2 linked regions of the Xenopus tropicalis genome follow. The protein of the gene in region 1 interacts with the protein of each later gene in a biochemical or structural test. Links are inferred from orthologs where the notes say so. Each region holds a gene or a part of one and is shown in the gene's direction. Other genes may lie near its edges.

Region 1 (3,757 bases):
ATATCACTATGTATTTTATATATATATATATATATATATATATTTATTCATGTATATACACACAGAGAATACATACTTTGATCATTTATGTAGTAGGTACATTTTAATATTTACATTTATTTTAGTTATTCTGTGGATCTCCACGAACACATATGTATGAATGTGTCTGGATTTGAAGAGAATGAGAGAAAGAATAGCTTGTAATATATATATATATATATATATATATATATTATTTCTTTCTCTCATTCTCTTCAAATCCAGACACATTCATACATATGTGTTCGTGGAGATCCACAGAATGATTAAAATAAATGTAAATATTAAAATGTACCTACTACATAAATGATCAAAGTATGTATTCTCTGTGTGTATATACATGAAAATATGAAACCATTTTCAAGAACTCCTAGAAAGCTACAGAGTACACCTAGAGGAAAAGAAGGCGATGACCAGGAAAACAGGTAACCTAGCCTATTCCAATCACTGGAAATGTACTCATTCCTTACAAGATTAAGCGATTCGAAGTCGCGTCGCTGCAGCGTCCCACTTCCTGTACCAGGCCGCGTTGCCGCGGAAACAGTGACATGTTGGGTTGCTAGACAGGGAGGGTTTTGTTGCTTCCATTTTTTTCAAAAAACTTTATTAACTAGAGGAAGCCACTAACACTGAAGAAAAAATACAGTATACTGTACATTAGTGCGCGGCTGGCTTCAACCCAGCACCTCAGGGTCGGCCGTCCATGCACTTTACTTATATTGTGGCATGTGCATCATCCAAACCAAACAATACAGCAATATTTCCGAGTTCAGAGAAAAACAAAAATCGCATGGGTTTTGTTACAGCGGGAAAGTGTGCCGCTACAGAAGCATTTTGCAATGCGGCCAAGCTGACACAACTTTAGTTTATACACAACTCAATGAACTGCTCGCTACAAAAGCAACACTGAAGTGGCAGCGCTCGTCAATAAACTTTATTGTTCGCGAAGCAGCGCAGTGAGCACAGCGGGGCAGGGTGTGTTTCCTCCTCAATTCGCTCAACTTTAATGAACATCGCTGGGCGCGAACACTGCCAGTCTCCCGGCGCTGCTGCTTGTGGCTATTGCCGCTTCTCTGGAGGCCTCAGCTGAGTTCTGCTCCCCCGCCCTTTCCCTCGCTGAAGATGCCGAGCAAGAAAAAGAAATACAACGCTCGTTTTCCCCCGGTGAGTCGGCGGTCTCCTCTCGCACCGCTCTTTCCTGGTACAGGCTCCCCGAAAATCTCCCGCAAGGACCCCCCTCTGGTTCTGGATCCTTTGCGTTGCGCCGGATTTTGGCATCTTTTTTGCTCTGCCCAGCGCTATGGTTATGGGCAGTAGGAGCGTTGTGCAGAGTATTCAGCCTCATTGTAACAATAACACTGTATCCGCACACGCTGCAGCTTGTTATTGCTCACTAGTGCCTTTTGTACAGTCTATAAACATATATTGTTTACGTTCAATACACTGGTTCCTTAACGGAGTATCTGCCCCTCGACCAGGATGTTCGGTGCCTTGGCAGGGCCAACCCGCAGCCACCCGGGGACATAGCTGGGTAGAATGCCCAAGGTACTATTTAATTCCCTTCATGAAGGTCATTTAAAGCAAGTTTTGGGGTGAACACTGTTCTTATGGCTGTGACTGAATGGATAATACACAGAGTCTGTGATCTTGTTATGGGCTAAGGGGGTCCAAGCCAAATGGTGGGTCTTAAAGGTGAGAAGATAAGGGACCTGGGCAGTTTTTGGCTTTAATTAAGGTGGGGGTGGATCCTGGCCAAGTGGTGGGCCTTAGATGAGGGGGTCCTGGTTAAGTGTTGGGCCTTATTGGGGGGGGGGAGGTAAGGTCAAATGGTGGAAATTAAAGGGGAAGGGGGGCCCTGGTCAAATGATGGGGCTAAAGGGGGGGGGGGTCAATTAGTTGGCCCTATTGGGGGTGTCCTGGTAAAATGGTGGTGGGCCTTAAAAGGGGGGGGGGGGGGGCTGGTCAATTGGAAGACCACTGTTCTTATGTTTGACACGCATACACCTTGCTATCCTATTCATCCAGTGCACAAGTAGGCCTTCCTCATTACCTTAACATTAGTTGCTCTCAGTGCCCCCAAACCAGGGAGTTATTTTTGAATTCCTGACTTGGGGGCAAGTTTTGGTTGAATAAAAACAAGGTTTACTACCAAATAAAGCCCACTGTAAGCTGATAGGTTGCATAGAGGCCCCTAATAGCCAATCAAAGCCCTTATTTGGCTCCTCCATGAACTTTTATGGTGCTTGTGTTGCTCTCCAAGTCTTTTTACATTTGACTGTGGCTCATGAGTAAGAAAGGTTGGGGATCCCTGCCTTAACCAATACTTTCTTCTCTAACCATTCATTGTCATCCTTTGCCTAAATTGCTTAGTATGATGGGATTTTTTTTTAATAGTACTAAAGGGTAAATTTGCCAGGGCTCACTATCGGACATTTTATCTGCTATATCTTATTGCTGAAGCTTCCTAGAGCAGTGGTAACCCCTGCGTTTTAGTGAGCTTAACATAACCATTGCAGTTCTTCTTTTATTTAGAAATAACTTACTTCTAACTATTTAGAAAATGTTCAAAGTTATATTTATTTATTTAATAAAAACCTAGTGTTTGTGATTTTTCTGCTCCCACCTCTGTTGGTTCTCATGTCTACTTCAGTAAGCATAGACTGTTTCTCTGCCTTCTATATTTACTTCCCCTTCGAAGGGGCACAATTTCCCTTTTTTAAATACATTAGAGGACATTGTGAACAGATAGCAGGGAATTGTTTTTTCCCACAGAAAAGATGAAAGAATAAGAAGTCCCCTTTAGACTTGAGCAACTGAACTTTGAAGCAGCTTAGGTGATTTTTTTTATGGTAAGGGCAGTGAGGTTGTGGAATGCCCTGCTGGCAGATTCTGTCAATGCTTTTAAGAGGGGCTTGGGTAATTTCTTGGACAAGCACAATATCCATGTCTATAGTGATTTTAAGATCTACGATTATCTCAGTATAGATACATGTTCATATAGTTACATAGGGTTGAAAAAAGAGTCCATCAAGCTCAACCCATCCAAGTAACAGCAACACACAAACATATACTGACCTATCTATACACTCACATACATAAACTATATATACCAACATCAATTCTAACTGTAGATATTAGTATCACAATAACCTTTGATAGTCTGCTTGTTCAAAAACCTATCCAGGCCCCTCTTAAAGGCATTAACAGAATCTGCCATCACTCGGAAGGGCATTCCCCAACCTCCCCAAACTTGTACAGAGTAATCATGTCCCCTCGCAAGCACACAACAAAACATCTGTCAGATTTCATTCCAATTTATTCTAAAGCAGGCAGACATATTACAATAACAATCTTTCCTGCGACCATTAGAGTTTACTAACTTGGATCAGAATAATCTCCTTTAACGTCCTAAGGGCATTGAAATGTTGAGGCAGAGTTTTGGTATGTTCCATTTGGTCCTAGCTGTCTGAGGCTCTTGGGATATTAGTAGACTCAATTTTTTTTTGAAGATGTGCTTTTTATAATTCTGATGTAATTATGTCATATTTATAAAGCGCTGTGTATTTGTGTAGGCACTATAAAGAGATTAAATGTCTTTCGCATCAGTCCCTGCCCCATGGGACGTTTTATTTGTGAAAAGACATAGAGAAAAAACATTTGCTTGTGCCTTATAAGAATAGCTGTAAAGAATTATAAAGAATAGTTATGTATGGGCAAA
Region 2 (3,449 bases), about 66 Mb from region 1:
CTTTGCTAAAACGCACAAATACAAATATCGGTAGATGATCAGCATTGTCTATTTTTGTAGTTGTGACAAGTAGCTGCTACTAGTAGCTCTGTGTGTCACCATAAAGGTATGCTGACACTGTTTTCAAATCTCTGAAATGCCATCCCCAGGACATGATATTCTGGAGATGGCACAGTAATTGATAGTGTGCATATTCCACAGGGCTTTACAGAGATTAAGCTTTATTCACATCAGTCGTTGCCCCAGTAGAGCTTACAGTTTAGGGTACCTATCACATTAACACACTATAATCAGTTTTAGCATGAGGTCATTAAAGGAGCAGTAACACCAAAAAATGAAAGAGCTTTAAAGTAATAAAAATATAATGCACTGTTGCCCTGCACTGGTAAAACTGGTGTGTTTGCTACAGTAACACTACTATAATTTATATAATAAGCTGCTGTGTAGCCACGGGGGCAGCCATTCAAGCTGGAAAAAAGGAGAAAAGGCACAGGTTACATAGCAGATAACAGATAAATTCTGTAGAATACAATAGTGTTTTATCTGTTATCTGCTATGTGCCTGTGCCTTTTCTCCTTTGAATGGCTGCCCCCGGGGCTACATAGCAGCTTATTTATATAAATTATAGTAGACTTTCTGAAGTAAACACACAACTTTTACCAGTGCAGGGCAGCAGCACATTATATTTTAGTTACTTTTATACACTTTCATTTTTTGGTGTTACTGTTCCTTTAACCTGCCTGCATGTTTTTGACCTTTATGTGATATGTGTGCCATTCTAGAGCCATTTTGTTATTTAATAACTGTGTAGTGTTTTATGTCTTTGTTTCTAGCACTGGAAAGTTTGGGTTTTGGTTCCTACATCAGCGAGGTAAAAGATGTCCTGCAAGAATGCAAAACTGTAGCATTAAAACGACGAAAAGCAAGTTCTCGTCTTGAAAATCTTGGCATTCCTGAAGAAGAGCTTCTAAGGCAGCAACAAGAACTATTTGCAAAAGTAAGTGATTGGTGTTACTTATAGGACTGGTCTCCATTTGACAGATAACCTTTTAGATCAATGGTATGAGTCTCATTTGTTGCCCATGTGAAGTCACACTTGTGGTTGGGCAACAAAAGACCCAGCAATACCTTTCCATGAAATTACATTATTGCTTGAAACAACCAAAAGAATTGTTAATCAAACCTGTCTTGTTAATCGTACATGCATAAATTGCTTTTTGTCTTCAATATGTTCTATAAAATACCCTACCCTTTTCTAGGTCTAGACTAGACCTAGAACATGCCTATTCTATAACATACTATTTTTAAAGCAATGACCCAAGCAGAATCTCCCTTTTTTGCATTTTTGCAACTTAGAGACAATTTATCTAGTTATCAGGCTTTGGTATTGGTGATATTATAAAAGGTGCATAATGCATCAGGTCTAGTAGCACATAAAGGCAGGTCACCTGGTTGAAAGCAAACATCCAATATATTTTTATGGCCTACGATTCCTAATATAAACTTTGTGACTTTTATGACATTACTCAGTGACTTTATTTTCTTTATTGGAAGAAGAACTTGGGAGAATTTCTACTTTCCTTTTCTAAGAAGCAGGTCTGTTTTTGAATTACTGCTTGTTCTCTAAAACTCTGCTTTGGTTCTAGGCAAGACAGCAGCAAGCAGAATTGGCTCAGCAGGAGTGGCTACAAATGCAGCAAGCTGCTCAACAAGCACAACTTGCAGCTGCAACTGCCAGCGCTTCAAACCAAGCCGGTTCCTCTCAGGACGAGGAAGAGGATGATATTTGAGTATTTCCAGCTATGTTAATATCAACCTTTGAATATTTTTCGCCTGCACAAAGAGAAGTGGAAAATGCTTAATTGTAAATTTTTTATGCATCTTGGTGGACTGGTTATTGATATTCTAGGGATGTCTGTTAAGTCTCCGCTCTTGTATGCAGCATAAATGTACAAATATCCTTTTTGAACTGTTAATAATAAGGTTCAGTATCATATCAATAGAGAATTTTTAACAGCCTTTATGAGAATTTTATATTAGCAATCAGTCATTAACTTGAACAATAAGCAGTGTTAAACCAGAATACATCTTTATTAAATATAGCGAGATTTATACAGAAACTCTAAAATACATTTGCATTTCCCTTTTAACTAAGCTTAAAAAAATTCTTAGGGGTTTTTTTTTTAATTTTGTGGGTTGGGTAAGGGATGTTGGCTTGTCTGGCAGGCACATGATGAAGTCAAAGATCACTGTCAGGAAAGTGTGTCTGTAATACTGAATTTTAGGGGAGGATGTGAAAACTTTGTACAGGGCAAAAACATTGGATGCTTTGCTATGGGCTTTGCAAACCAAGGAATTTAAAACTGTGTCAGTAGAAGAAACATTGGCCCAAACATGTTGACTGGGGAGGGATCTTTTTTTAGAAATTGTCATGGTAATTGCGCTTTTTCTTTTTTTTTTTTTTTTTAAGACCCTTTAAGAGTTAATAAAAAGGACATGTGAAATCCAAGCTCTTTCTAAAAGGGGAACCACAACTAAAAACTGCATCTGGTGCAAAGTAAATATGTGAAGGATGGTATTAATTATATTTGTGGTTGTAAGTAAATTCATTCTTTTTTACCCCAAAACAACATGTTAGGGATTTTTTTTTTTTTTAAATTTACTCTGGCACGTCACATCTATAAATTGTTGTATATTTGTATTTTTAATTGTATTTGATTTGATTAGTTCATTGCTGTATGGTCCTAGTTAGCATTTATCCTGCACCTTGAATTTAGTGACTGTAAGTAAATAGGGACTTGTGTTTGCTCAGTGTCACAATGTAACAAGATGCGCGCACACACACACATATATATATATTAGTATGAAAGGCAGCGCACTCGCCCAAAAAAACGCAAGAAAAGCCCAGGTGCTGCTGCAAAAAATATCAGCATGTAGAACACAGAGACTTCAATTATGTGCAAACATTTAATGGTGTTTTGGTCCTACACAGAGGACCTTTTGTGATATCTTGATAAAGGTCCTCTGTGTAGGACCGAAACATTGAGTTGCACCATTAAATGTTTGCATGTAATTTAAGTCCCACGAGTACTCTGTGTTCTACATATATATGTATATATTAGTGTGTACTGCACCGATAGTACTGAATAAGACACTGCATTGTTTTATTAGTGCTGTAAGAGACCTTACAACTGGAGCATGTTCATGAATAAGTGTTGTTACCAAAGTTTATCAGAAATAGAATTTCAGTATTTATTGAGTCAGAAGTTCACATCTGTGGCACATGTTGGAGATTTTGGGCGTTTTGTTTGCTGTTGCATGAAAATGCCAAAAATAACCACCTGGTATTTAGAATATTAACACCTGAAATCAAATGAAAGCACAACTGAGCAAAATAGCCATGGCAGGAGGCTTTTTTTTCTGCAAATTGCCTGAACTCTGCTCCATGT

What was found. The genes of interacting proteins can lie anywhere in the genome.
Region 2: the proteins of drap1 (region 1) and dr1 form a complex in vitro, tested with the Homo sapiens proteins (2 studies listed by BioGRID). The link is inferred for Xenopus tropicalis from reciprocal best matches to the Homo sapiens genes DRAP1 and DR1.

Annotation. Positions count from the first base shown.
Region 1 is NC_030680.2:38,501,397-38,505,153, forward strand, and holds the start of drap1 (dr1-associated corepressor), read left to right. Parts: upstream 1-1,096; 5' UTR 1,097-1,161; coding exon of another isoform or gene 1,162-1,203; exon of another isoform or gene 1,204-1,575; coding exon of another isoform or gene 1,576-1,584; intron 1,585-3,757. UniProt on the Homo sapiens protein: The association of the DR1/DRAP1 heterodimer with TBP results in a functional repression of both activated and basal transcription of class II genes.
Region 2 is NC_030680.2:104,109,444-104,112,892, reverse strand, and holds the end of dr1 (protein Dr1), read left to right. Parts: intron 1-833; coding exon 834-997; intron 998-1,646; coding exon 1,647-1,790; 3' UTR 1,791-2,892; downstream 2,893-3,449. UniProt on the Homo sapiens protein: The association of the DR1/DRAP1 heterodimer with TBP results in a functional repression of both activated and basal transcription of class II genes.